2 linked regions of the Oreochromis niloticus genome follow. The protein of the gene in region 1 interacts with the protein of each later gene in a pairwise test. Links are inferred from orthologs where the notes say so. Each region holds a gene or a part of one and is shown on either strand. Other genes may lie near its edges.

Region 1 (7,487 bases):
CTACCAACCAGCTAGCAGACGACCTATCTACTGAGGCTGGATAGCAGCTCCAAAACCTTCTATATACTCTTCAGTGTTCACATTGTCTTCACACAACAGCAAGTTACCCATGCCAACTGAATGCGCCCTCTCCTCTTTAGCCTGTGACTGATGGACCGCTCTCAGAACTAAGCCAGTCCATTTGGCTGAACTGAGTCCAGAGTAGGCAGCAGTGCTTCTGGATCTTGCTCATATACTGTATATTAGTTTTATTAATCTTGAGAACCCTGTTTCTTTTTTAAAAACTGTAACAGAAATAGGGTTCTCTTTGGGAAAAGTCAAAGAAATTTGAATTTTTATTTGCCGTCCCTTGGTAATTTGAGGCATTTCTCTGTTGCCACAGACGGATTTAGGATAACTGACAAAAAAAAGGAAAGAAAAAAAAAGGGACCAAGGGTACAGACTGTTCCAAAACAGGAGAAAAGGGAAAGAAAAACAAGCATAGAGCGAGGTTAGGAGAGTGCCAGTTAGCAAGGATGAGAAGGGGGCAAGGAATTTAAGTCCCAAAGTTATTTTTAAACTAAGGACAGGAACTCTACTGTTGACTCCCCAAACACAGAATCATAGATCAGTATAGGAGCAGAGCTGGGAAAAGAAGACAGGGAGCTTATATACACAAACACATAGACACACACACATACACACACGCTTCATGCATCTGTCAAGTGCGTCATCCCATATGTGCGTGTACATCCAGGCACATGCATCCTCTAAGCACAGGCCTGCCACCGTTTGGCATACTTTATGGTCTCGCAGCCACACTCACACCAGGATGTGTACGCGTCGTCCCGTAAACACGGCGCACAGCTCGGTTTAAAGATAGTTGCACGCTCAAACTTTTGGTGACAAATGAGAAAGCGTTCGTTTGAACTTCTTTTGGTGCCATGTCATTGCTGCATATGTGTATACAGCACATGTACCATGCATCTGATCTAACTGACCATAATTAAGAAATGGTGTATAGGCAGAGAATCCCAATTACAGGCCGGCGGCGAGAGCGTTTAAAGTTTGATGGCTCGTCAGCTGTAGAATATGTGACTGTTCACAGAGGATACGGTCTCACACTAACTGAGATAAACAGAAGGTCATCAAGTGGAATAATCTTTGTGGTGCAATCTGCTCAATAACAGGCTTTATACTGTGTGCTTTTCCAGGCTGTTATTATCAAGTAAAGACATTGGGATTTATGGGAAGCGAGCTGGGACAAAACTCACACACAAAGGCGGGAGGGGAGCGTTCTGTGTACGCAAAGGGCACACACCCTGCCATTCATGTGTGCTTTGTCAGGGGGCTGTTATGAAAGCCCGGCTCCATCGGCGGCTGTTGTATTCCCTCGACTGCTGGCTTGTGCAGATAGGAGAGGGAATAAACAGCCACGAGAGGAGGAGAATGGTCAGGTGCACCGTCACTGGGTCCACGGCACAGTCCACTGAAGGTCACAGGAATATCACTTCCCTCCTGACCTTTAGCCCACCGAGGTCAAACTTAGCACACACTCCTGGTTTTTCTGAAGTGGAGGAGGGTATCACAGGAAACTGGGTCTCTTTTACCTGTTTGTATCGTAATGATAGCACCCATCAACTACCTAAAGCAGGGGTCACGCCCTCCACTCTGGATCCTCGCACGTGCATCCTACCCCTCACCTCCAAGGTGTCACAGAAAGCAGCCTTGTTCTGGTCGTCTCCTCCTTTCTACCAGGACCCCCTCAAAAATCCCAGCAATCCCTGCAATTTCCGGTGCAATGTTTATTTGGCAGGAAGAGAGGGCTTGTGGGGTGGGTTGGGGGGGTGAAAAAAGAGCCTCACTCACAAACAGTCTGGGTTGGTTGAGAGTAAACATGTGCAGGCGGGGTGTGTGTGTGAAACGAGCGGTAAGCAGGACTGAGGCTCATGTGTTCTGGTCCTGACACACAGAGCAACGCTCTGTTTCATGCCCCAACCGCCTCAACCTGATCAACATCCCACCCCGGCTACTACGAACAGCACCCTCTGCTGGAGAAATGGACACATGACGTTAAAAGAAAACTTGAGATCAAACAAACTAAGAGCCTAAAATGTCTTTCTCTGAATAAGATATATAGGGAAAAAAAAATCCAGATCCATACATGAGCAGGGCCTCTAGTCCAGGGGTGTCAAGCATAAGGCCCTGGGGCCAGAATCGGCCCAGCAAACACTCTAACTGACAGCTTTGAAAAATAAATAGGAAGGCATCAATTTTTAACTTTTTTACTGTATATTCATTGCTTTTACAGTTTTTCCTACTGATAAAGACTTCCTCCGTGCCCATTTATTAGAAACCAAAGTAATGAAGTAAATGATAAGCAGTTAAAACACAGAAAAGTTCCTGTTTTTTATCACTATAAATGTCTACTTTTTACAATAAGTCCATAGAGGAAATAAAAAACACACCATAACTTCCTCTGCAGTTTTATACATTTATTTATCTATGATGATAGATTTCTTTTGTTTACTACAGCACTATTTCGTTATCATATAGAAAAACTGAGACAGTACTTTTGAAACTGCACTTTATGTTTTTCTAAATGTGTACTTCAACATCTTTACTGTGACAGAGAGGGCAGTTTCACATTTTCAGCCCACTTAAGATCAAAGTGGCTTCTTGTTGGTGAGTGCTACGCAGTGATGATGTCATCCATACACACTCCACAGAGGCCTACAGTTACTATAAATATCAGAATGACCCGTATATTAAATTTTACCCTTTGAGGTTTTAACATGAGACCGAGGATGATCTCAACAAACTTAAAATTTAAACAGATTTACATTCAGTTATACACTCAGAAAGCTCTGCAGGCTGGTAACAGGAACATTTATTATCAGCAGATACATTCACCCTGGGGAAAAATGTGTGTGTGGGAGACCATCAGGGCCAAGCTGGGTCTAGATTCCTGGGTGCAGTAGTTTGTAGAAAACTTCTCCCTTTCATCACATCTGTCCTGTTCCAGATGTTCTGTTGACTCACTGAGACATCATGTCAGAAACATCTGACATTGCATGATATATTTCTGCTTCTCTCCTCTCCTCTTTCTCCTCTTTTGCTGCATCTTTCCTTTGACCGCAGGCTCCTCTGATGTCTGAAGTGGGGTCACCAGTCTGGCCCACCAGACTGGTGACCCCACTGGTTGTTGTTGTTGCAGATGGACTGTCCTGATGTGCAGTTTGTCTTTGAGGGCATTCTAAAACTAGAGAAAACATTTATGTTTAAACCCCTGATCTGTGGAGATCTGAGTGCACTTCAGGCTCAATGGCATCCAGTTGTGTGGTGCTGGACTGAACCTCTGAGCACATCGCTGTTTGCACATGGTTTCCTGGCATATGTTTGACACCTGCAACTGGCTACCTGAAGCTTCAGGGATGTGTGCATTTGCAGGCAGCACGGCTCCAGAGCTGCAGAATAAAGAGTGGAGCAGTTTGTGCAGGGCTAGGCTGGCTAAGAGCCCAGGCGGTTGATGTTGCAAAACAGCGCTGGAGATCCGAGAGCTGAAGACAGCCCGGCTTTCCTGTCAGTGCTTTTGTTCAAACAGGCCCGTAGACAGATCAGTCTACATCCTTGATCTGTCTACATCCTTGATCAGATCAGGAAAACCCTCCACTGAAAGAAAAAAAGGTGTCCACCTGGAGGAAGTGTGGCTTTTGATGTGATAAAATGTGAAAAATAAAGGAAGGTGAAGCATGGACGTGTCCGCTATATAAAACTAAAGGAATGATGATGCTTCTCAGCAGAAATGGCTCACAGGAGCAAAGCTTCTCCACAAAGGTTTTAATCTAAAACTATATTTTCCTGCTCATTGTCTCATTGTGTGGATATTTTGGGAAGCCTTGGAGAGACTTAGAGTCAGGTCTGTGTAAATAAGCCACTGGAATCTGACTGTGTACTTAGCTTAGCAGAGTGATTAGAAACAAGGGAAACCATTTGCCCATGTCTGACAGACTTCATCCAACAACACCACCATGGTGCAGTGATTTGTACTGATGTCTCACAGCAAGATGGTCTTTTTTATATGGAGTCTGCATATTCGCCCCCGGCTTACATGGGTTCTCACTGGGTACTCTAGTTTCCTCCCACAGTCCAAAGACATGCATGGATGAGGCTGGTTGGCAACTCTTGAATGGTGGCAGGGGGTGAATGGTTATCTGCCTCTCTGTGTTAGCTCTGCAATAGTACAATAGTGGAAGAAGATTGCTGGACAACACACAGTAGGGTTAGATGGGGGTTATGCACTATCTGTCTTTGAGTTCCAGCAGCAGCATTTATTTTTAAGGTCAGTAATAGACTAGCCTTTTGTTTTCATTGTACCTGTATGAATATGTAAATACATACAATACTTATATAACCTACTATAAACTACAACTAAAACTAGCTGTCAGGTTAATATAGAGTAGATAAAAGTATGCTACGCTGATAATCCAACCCTGTGCTTCCAAACCTGGCCAGCCGGTGGCGCCACTCACTGATCTCTGTCGGCTGAAAAGCCGCACGTTCCCTTTTTTTTCTGCGGCACCAAAACGGAAGCACTTCATTGGTCCGCGAGGCCAAGATCAAGACCAGCGCCGACAGAAGAAGCGAGGTAAGCTGTGAAAATGCGGGCGCGTGTTTTAATGTGTGTGACATTTGAGAACGTGTTGTTCTCAAAGTGTCCGGTTTCGGTGTTCGCGTGCTGCTTAACGCGAGGAGGCAGCGGCGGGGGAAGGTTTAGGAGGAAGAGGAGGAGAAGTAGGAGGAGGAGGACGAAGAGGGCAAACTCATACGTAACGTAGATTAATGGAGCACGCGAGCTGCCGGTAGATAAGCGGCAAACACAAGATGTTAGGCCGAGAAAACGGCTCAGAGAGCTGCAGGGGAGTGGGCCGTTCTCAGTGGGGAAATTCTGAATACTTAAAGCTTTTTATCCATCGTGGGATTAAGAAAGTGTTTCTCAACAAGGCAACATGGCTGAGTGTGTTCTGCCAATAAACTCGTTTGTTCACGTCACTCGTTATATGACGCTCACGAGCCCTAATCACGTTAATTAGCGCTGATTCTTCATTAAACAGCTCGTGCTCGAGAGCTTAAACCGTGTGAGACTAGAAGTTTTTCACTGAGTGACTCAAAACAATGTTAGCTGTGAGTGTATTATAGAGGATACTCTAAGTGATTATTTTTCCCGCACACAGCACGTGACGGTTGCAGGTTTTTTCTGCAAAAAAGGAGAAAAGATGTCATAATCATCTAAACCTGAGGTAGGGAACCCCAGGCTTCAAGGGCCGCTGTCCTGCAGGTTTTAAATGTCCTTGATCCATCACAGCTGATTTAAATGGCTAAATTACCTCCTCAACATGCCTTGAAGTTCTCCGCAGGCCTGGTAATGAATTAATCGTTTGATTCATTTGTGTTGACCCAGGGTGAGATCTAAAATCTGCAGGGGCTCTCGAGGCCTGGAGTTCCCTACCCCTGATCTAAACCCAAGTGGACCTCAGCCCTTGTTCTTGGGCCAACAGCTGAGATCCTAATGATATTTAATTAAATAATACTGAATCTAAAATCCTCCAGAAAGTAGCATTACACACGCTCTATCTACTGACTTTTTTAAAATATAATTTTCCTTAAAAGCAGTCCAAATGATTATTCCTTGACCTTTTTTCTCCAACTTGCCTGACAGATGTGTCAGTTGTGTACGAATACAAATCAGTCCAGCATTTGTTGCCTCCTATCCCATCTATCCAGACAGCTCATTTGCTTAAACCACACAGACCATTTCCAGTAGTTCCAGTTTTGGAAATGGGCAATTTGCTGACATAAGAAAAGATTACCTGGTTTAGCCCGATATTATTTATTTTATTTTTTTTACTTATGTGTTAAAAGCAAACCTATTGTGCTTTTTCTGAATTTGTTGGTGAATGCTTATATTCAACATGGCCAAAGTTTCAAATAAAAAGGTCAGTGCATATACAGGTAGTCCCCTGGGAGCCAAAACCTGAGTTCAAACAGCACTGATGACAATATGATGTCAAACAAAGCAGATCATATCACCATTCTCATGTAGAGGGGTGTGTGTGTGTGTGTGTGTGTGTGTGTGTGTGTGTGTGTGTGTGTGTGTGTGTGTGTGTGTGTGTGTGGTGGGGGGGGGGGTTAATGCAACATTGTATTGTGATATTTTGCGTGGCATTATTGCATTGATACAGGAACAGCAAATATTGATAAATGAATTAATAAATTAAAATACTATGAACAAGAAGGCTCACGTCATGAGATGATGAGCCGAGCAAACTCACATTAAATCAGCCCAGCTGATAAACTGTCAAACGCTGGTTACACTTAGCTTTACAAAGATGCCTCCTAATTCAGAGCAAGCTAATGACTCAGTCACACACGCAAAACTAGGACAGCGACCTCCTTACATCTACACCGGTGGCTTTCTGGTGATTGTACTGAATTTTTTCATGTTCTGCAACCTGGTCGTGATTAAATGGTTACCACACAACCACTTTTGATCACAAGGTGATTGCGCAGGTCACCTGATGGGAAGTAACCTTTCTGCAAACAGTTGCAGTCTGATTTGGACTGAGTGCAGTCACTTTGAGAGAGTTGAAGGTTTGGAGATAACTGTTGTCTAATATATAAATACAGATGGACTGCCAACATGTTGCAATCAGTCTGAATGAGTCTTTGTCAGCCAGCAGGGTACACCCTGGACATGTCGCCAGTCTGTCGCAGGCCTAACAAATAGACACAGACAACCATTCACGCATAAATATGATTTAGTTATTTTTTTATTACACTTTATATTTGTTTACCAGATAAACTGGGACTTTATCGACAGTTAAACACTTTATCGACAGTTTATACCAAGTGCAGCATAAGAAAAAAAGGGATCTTAAGCCTATAAAATGGATTATTTAGAATAGTAACTTATGCGAAACTACTTTTGTACAAGTCAAGAATGAAAATATGGAGCTGGAAATAAATATTGTGGGTGTCACCATGTAATTAATTTATCACTAACTATAGTCCTGGAAACTGGTGCCAGTTTGTAAAGCTCAGGCAGGGTTTAAGAGTGGATACGGGATGGGACCTATAGCGTTTTTGGATAGATTTCTTAGTATTTTTTTAAATCTTATAATCTGAAGTGTCTGAAATGCAATATTAATATTATAATAAGTAACACTTATCTTCTGTATCTTTGCCTGTTGTGCAAAGATGGCTCACAGGCTGCTGCTACGAAGACTCTGGACACTGTCTGTGAACGATATCCGCTGCCTCCCCAGGTCCACTGCCTCCGTCGCTTCCTCTTGTTATTCCACATCCCTTCAGTCCACTACAACCCGGGTGTCCTTTCTCTCCCCGTCACGAAGTCTGCCTCGCGCCCTGCCTCACACCTCCCGCCGAGAAGTCTCCTTCAATGTGCAGGACAGCGAGGACTTTACAGAGAGGGTCATCAACAGCGAACT
Region 2 (7,122 bases), on another chromosome or scaffold:
GGATGCAGCCACATAGCTGTGTTCATTGCAGGGCAGAAGAGTAGAGGTCGACTGGTATCCCAGGCTCTTACCACACACGTCTGAAAGGACAAATGCTCATAAAATCAGAAATCATTTCACAGAAATTCTGCAATAAATGATTATTTGCAAAATCTTTAGTATTTCATCTTCTTACCAGCAGATTATCACAAATACCACTAGCAATCTTTCCAAGAGTGTTGGCATCAAGAGGGGCAATGACAAGTAGGTCTGCCCAGCGCCTTAGCTCAATGTGTAGCACGGGGTCAGATCTCTGTTTCCACAGCTAAATGAGAGACATGCTGTTTGAAATGCATCCAGTTACACAGTCACATCTTCACTTCTGTCTGGAATGCATAATAAGTTAAACCAGTGTTTTTATGTCTCAGAATTCTCACAAGTAACTCCAGTGTTTTCAAGTTAATAATGGGCAACTCATACCACATTTCATTTCACTCAGTATGGCACTGTATGGTATTCCTTCATCTATTTCATTTCAAGAGCCCAAGCTGACCTTCATATTGATTATATATGTCATGTTAATTTGTCTTTTCTATATATATAGCTATATATGTTTTCAGTGTAATAATGGCTACATTAGAACATCATACTCAAGTTAGTTATTACCTCCCATTCATCCTTGTCACTGTAGATTTTGACTGAGACCTCAGCAGGATTATAGAAGTGCTTGGCATGCTCTGTAGTGACTACTCGTACATCCACCTACAGCATAAATGACAGCAACATTTTACTTGTGCAGAACAGTTGAAAAACTCTATGGGATGGATGGATGGATAGATGGATGGATAGATGGATAGATAGAGAAGGGGAAAAGGGAGGGAGAGACACATCAGTAGTATGAATTTCCTGTTCCACCACATCCCATTTAGATTGAGATCCGATGACTGTGGATGCCTGGAAGCCAGTTGTGTACAATGGATTCACTGTCATGTTCACAAACCAGTTTAACATGAGTTGAGCTTTACGGCATGTTATCCTGCTGGAAGCAGCCATCAGAAGATGAGTACTCTGTGGTCATGAATGATAGACATATTCAGCAAAAATTGTCAGGTAGGCTGTAATATTTAAATGATGATTTAAATGTACTAAGAGGCCCGAAGTGTGCCAAGACAATATCCCCCACACATAACACCACCTTCAGCCTGAACAATTGATACATGGCAGGATGGATCCATGCTTTATGATCTTTATGCCAATTTCCCACCCTACCATTTGAACATTTTTCCAAACTTCTGCTGTCCAATTTTGGTGAGTCTGTATGAACTGTAGCCTCATTTTTCAATTTCTAGCTGACAGGTGTGGCACAGGGTGGGGTTTTGCTAAGGTTCGATGAGTTGTGCATTCAGAGATACTCCTCTAGCACCATGGTTGTAACATGGGGATTGTGAATTACTCTCCACTAACCGTGGACGTCACAAAGGCATTTTCACCCAGAAAGCTGGCATTTACTGGACATTTTCTCTTTTTCAGGCTGTTCTCTGTAAACCCTAGAGATGACTGAGTGAGAAAATACCAGCAGATCAGCAGTTCCTGAAATACTCAGAACAACCTGTTTGCGGCCCACAAACATGCCACGTTCAAAATCACTTAAATCACCTTTCATCGCCATTCGGATGTTCAGATGAAGTTAAGCAGGTCATCTTGACCATGTCTACATGCCTAAATGCTTGAGCTGCTGCCATGGGATTGGCTAAATAGATATTTGCATTAAAAAGCAGCTTAATTGGTGTACCTAACAAAGTAGCCAGTGAGTGCAGATAAAGTCTACATTGGTATGAATTTCTGTTTACTCTAAGTTTTTACATTATTTTAGAGTATTTTTAAACAACTGTAGGCATTTGATTGCCTTTACCACTAGTATGCTCAAATTAATTCATCATTTGTTTTATAATTAGCAGGGCTTGAGCAGGTGAAGTGTTCATTCTTTCTCAAGTAAATAAATACGTCATACTACTTGTTACAGAGAAGATTCTTCTACAACTGACTGTTTAATTTTTAAAAAAAAGAACTTTAATTGAAGTTTACAAGACAATACTGCTGCCAGTGACATGCGTGATCCCACATAATTTGGTTGAAAATTAAGTTGACTGATTGGGGCATTACGTCTCTCTGCTCCATGGAGTGTGCATCCATGCATATTCTCCCATGTTAAACTCAAATGAAGCAATTATTCTTAGTTTGACAGTCAGACCAAATATATCTCTCTACACGTATTCGCTATTACACAAACAATTTAAAATTATTTGCATTGCTATGCAAACGCATAGCTTCATCACCCTGTTTACTACAAAAGTCCTAACACACTTTATTTAGTGTATTGCAAAACCATTCCCACACTAATACCAACACTGTCATATATTATCCCCCCGTTTAACATTTACGTTTTCTCTATTTTCATGGAGGACCGCTGTGGTTTTTAATTAACATGCAGATATTGCTGGTTCAGATTTGGTTCAGGTTTTTAAGTCTAAGACTTTTTTTCTGCGGCTGGATAAAAGAGCTATAATAACTCGAACATACTGCGTTTGTAGCGATGCTGCCTAACATCCCCATCTTGCGGTAAAGGTGAGCTTATGCGTATTATGCCACTTAGATAAACAATAAATGTATATAGGTGCTTGTGCTATTATTTGCTAACTATGTACGGGGGAAAAAAAGAAACATTCATGATATGCAAACATTAATTAATATGAAGCAGCTCACCCTGGAGAGCTCAAGAAGCTGGGAGACCAAAAGAGGCAGTTTCAAGGCTGCAACGCTTCCTGTCACTCCAACAAGGACATTAAATGTCCCGGAAGTTTTCAACAAATCAGTTTTTAAACTTGACATGTGGTCGTCTTACTGCCTGTCAGCATACTGCCAAAAGAAAAATTAGACAAGCTGCCGCGCCGCGTTCCCGTGACACTTCCGTAAATATTCATTTAGCCAATCAGGGAATTGCACGTCTAACGTTTGTGCTTCCTGCACGAGCGCGTCTCCGCACTGATCGGTGGAGAGCGAGCACGTTCGAAGAATATTCTGGGTAATTGCTCAAGTCTTTCCAGGGGAGCTAGCATGAAGCGTGGAGCCTTCATTCGTTGTTTGCCTCACTGATATTTATTTGAAGCAACGCCCGATTAAAAAAAAAAAAAAAAAAAAAAAAACTGATCAAAAACGCAATAATGGCACTCACACCTCTTGTTTATTGGGCTCAACGCCATGAAGAAATTTACCTGCGAGTTGAGCTCACAGATGCTCAGGTGAGAGTACATCTTGCAGTTACTTGTCACGGGCAAAACGCTTTAGTATGGTTCTGACTTTTTTTCTTTTTAACATTGTTTTTGGGCCTCTGGTGGTAAATGAGAAGCAATGCAAATACAGACGAAAGGTTCCTGTAAATGTTATCCTGCTGGATAGCTGTACTATTTGCATACTGTATGAGAAATGAGATCCCTTATCTGATAACTGATCCATACAAAGCTCTCTGTTGAGGCCCGTTCGAACCTGTTTTTAAAACCTGTTGGTTTTAAGAATATTCGTGTTTACAGTTAATCACATGGGTGCAAAGTCCTAAAAATATCTGCTGGAACTACTCGGAAGGCGGGGTGGGTGGGGGTGGTAGCATTGCTCGGGGTTATGTGTGAGGGACAGGTGTTGTTACATTTATAGATATCACACCATCCCATACTACATGCTACAGGAGGGCCTCTCAGCACTCGTTTTTTTCTTCTTTTTATAGCACTTAACTCTATTTCTGATCATGTAACAGAAGATTCAGGTTAGAGACTTTTTAAGCACTTATTTTACCTGTACTATGTGTTTTGGAATATAGTTTGTTACGGTAATATTGTAACATAAGATTAATATCTTTGTTTCGGGTTTCTCTTAACAGGAAGTAAAAAAATTCTTGATCTAGCGAGGAAGTATGCTTATCCTTTGCCTGTGTTTTTGCAGAATATTGACGTCCACGTGGATGAAAATGTCCTTCACTTTTCAGGTGACATGGATTCACGGATTTCATTTGCATTTGGTGTTTAAAGACATATTTTTAAAAATATTTTTGTGGAATTTCATTTGTGATATCCTGTTTGTAGCCCAGGGGCATGGTGCAAAAGGACAAAATGAGTACAAGTTCAGCTTGGAGTTCCTCTTACCAGTAAAGCCACAGGTATGCTCAGTAATTCAATAATTCATCTTGAGGGATCAGAAATATATCTATAGACAGAATAACTTGCTCTTAAAGCAAGATTGCTCTTAAATCTTTGCCTTTCCTTTCTGTGGTTTTCCTGTTTGTGCTCATTGCGTGACCCTGTAGGTCAGCTACAAGTCCACACAGCGGCAGGTGAACATTACAGTGCACAAAATACAGCGAGGTTGGTGGGAAAAGCTGACTGTCCAGGAGCGTAAACCTGTCTTCCTGGCACCGGACTTTGATCGCTGGCTGGACGAGTCAGACGCTGAGATGGAAATCAGAGAAAAGGTAAGAGTAATGTAAAAGAGTAAGAGTGGCAGTTGTTACTAAATGACACTCACAGATAAAGATTAAAAAATGTCAGTATGACTAAAATAATTGATTAAAGACTCTACTATTTTCATTTTTAAATACTTCTAAAAGGAGGAGAAAAGGAACAGGCTGAAGGCTTCAAGACAAAAAGAAGAAGGTGGGTGCAGATAATATATTGGACTTGAACATTCTGTTTTATCAGATGGCTTTGAAGGGAAAACTGCTGATACTATTTTCCAATTTCTTTGAAATGTTTCAGGGTTCGTCAGCCTGAAAACTGTGTTCTTGATTGTGTACAACCTGGTCCAGTTTCTTGGTTTCTCATGGATCTTTGTCAACATGACAGTGCGTCTGTTTATCATTGGCAGAGGTGTGAAAATATATTACACAGGAGAAGCTGCAAGTGTCACTTACTTCCCAGAAAACTGGTTAAAACATGTCCGTTCTAAAACTCCTTTCAGATTCCCTCTATGACACATTTCACACAATTTCGGATGTGATGTTCTTCTGCCAGATCCTGGCATCAGTAGAAGTCCTGAATGCTGCTTTTGGTGTAGTCAAGACAGGTGTTATACCAACTCTTATACAGGTATGGGATGTTTTTTTGTTTTTTTTTTGCCCGAACTCAAGTTTTCTAAAGTTACAGATTGAGCACCAATACACATTTTTTTTTTTTGTGCACTAGATGGTCGGAAGGAATTTTATCCTCTTCATCATTTTTGGTAGTCTGGAGGAAATGCACCACAAGCCAGTTGTGTTCTTTGTTTTCTATCTGTGGAGTGCTATTGAAATTTTTAGGCAAGTATGCATTTTCCTATTGCTTACAGTAAACAGTCATCTAGTGATATATAGTACAGCTTTAGCCAGTTGTATTTAAATAAAACTAAAATTGGATAAGATTTAGAGCTTTGCAAATGTTTGGAACAGTTAGATTTTGTTAGATTTTATTCACATTTCAGCCTTGAAACAGGGAAGTTGCAGTCGCATCTGAGCTATAATTTTATAAGAATGTGTAACTGTAGATGCAACTTTGTGTCATTTTATTTGGAGCATGACTTTTTTTTTTCCTTAACCAACATGCGCTCATCCTTTTTCAGGTATCCCTTTTACATGCTGGGCTGTTTCAATACAGAGTGGAAAACCCTCACTTGGCTGCGGTATACTGTCTGGATGCCACTGTATCCACTAGGTGTTTTAGCAGAAGGTAGGCTTTTTTTAAGAGGGGCCGTACAAGCCAAAATTCATTCTTTCCCTCTCACACACATACATTCTTCTTTCACATACATATATTTTCACTCTCACATACATACATTCTTCTTTCACATACACATACTTTCACTCTCATATAGTTTTATTTTAATTTTTATATTTAGATATTTTTATTCTCATGTTTACACATATTTAACACACACATTGCAATATTGTGCTCTCTTATACATGTATTTTAATGTACATATTTACAAATTTTCACTCTAACATACATGCATTTTCATTTATGCATTCCTACATTTTGCTCTCATTTACATGCATTCAGTATGCATTTAATCTCACAAATAATATATGTAAGTAAGCAGAGAATGCATACATGTCAGAAGAAAATATATGTATGCAAGAGAATAATGTATGTGAATGAAAGAGTATAGTGGAAACGGAAGGAGTTTAATGGAAACGGAAGGCTGGGTGTCTGTACCGCTGTGATTGGCCGAGAAGCACGTGCGGGTCACTTTCAAGTGTCTGACAGCATGGAGGGGGGAGAAGAAACTCGAGTTCTTCAGCAAGCTATCGGGGTGTTAAGAAATATTTTATCATCTCCTGAAACGGTCACATCGTTGTCCTTGATCGAGATGGGACGGGCTCAACTTTTTTTTTTACGTGCGCTCAGAATAGTGGCACAAAAATAACGCCATAGTTACCCACCAGCTGACCGGGTGGTCACTCGGGTTAAACATAATATATAAAGCTCAACTGACAAAAAATCACCGACTACACCACCAGGTATTATAGGAAAAACCATAAGGCCTTTGAACTAAAACAAACGCTGTTGTGACAGTGATGTACACTGTCTCGTTGGTATATATGCATGATTTGTATCACCTTCATGTTTCCAAACCGATACCATGAGCAGCAGTTTTTACAGCTCTGGCTCCAGCAAACATCAGCTGATACTAGAAATTAATTTTAAATAAATTCTAACAGCTTATCAAGCTTGAACGTGCTGCTGTTGTTTAGCGCGACATCCGCTGGTTTCCTCTTTCTGGCGCAAAGTGGGAGATAAACAAACAAGAAAGACGATCAGCTAATCATTGATCGGTTTCATGATTGAAGTAGCAACAGGAGAGGGAGGGAGAGAGAGAGAATGAGGGGAGAAGAGGCAGCTGTGCAACGTAAAGACAGAATAACTCCAGCTTTGTCTTTTTTTTCATTCTAGCTGAAGTACGGGACTAATCGCGTTCTTTTTCCTCTCAATACGGATGTATTGTAATTGGTCCAGCCCAGAGTTGATCATGACCAATTAGCTAATCCACCACCTTTAATTGTTTATACCGTTACAAAAACAAACAAACATAAAAATGAAAAATCACCATCTGCCCACCGGGCAA

What was found. The genes of interacting proteins can lie anywhere in the genome.
Region 2: the proteins of txn2 (region 1) and ppcdc interact in binary tests that used the Homo sapiens proteins (3 or more experiments, as listed by UniProt). The two-hybrid records come from large-scale screens. The link is inferred for Oreochromis niloticus from reciprocal best matches to the Homo sapiens genes TXN2 and PPCDC.

Annotation. Positions count from the first base shown.
Region 1 is NC_031969.2:8,127,112-8,134,598, forward strand, and holds the start of txn2 (thioredoxin, mitochondrial), read left to right. Parts: upstream 1-4,472; 5' UTR 4,473-4,627; intron 4,628-7,236; coding exon 7,237-7,487.
Region 2 is NC_031972.2:51,780,200-51,787,321, reverse strand, and holds the start of ppcdc (phosphopantothenoylcysteine decarboxylase), read right to left. Parts: upstream 3,011-7,122; 5' UTR 2,869-3,010; coding exon 2,743-2,868; intron 742-2,742; coding exon 646-741; intron 305-645; coding exon 176-304; intron 81-175; coding exon 1-80. Other genes in the region: hacd3 (very-long-chain (3R)-3-hydroxyacyl-CoA dehydratase), read left to right, coding at 3,201-3,278, 3,973-4,015, 4,113-4,186, 4,334-4,498, 4,634-4,679, 4,782-4,892, 4,984-5,111, 5,208-5,320 and 1 more. UniProt on the Homo sapiens protein: Catalyzes the decarboxylation of the cysteine moiety of 4-phosphopantothenoylcysteine to form 4'-phosphopantotheine and this reaction forms part of the biosynthesis of coenzyme A.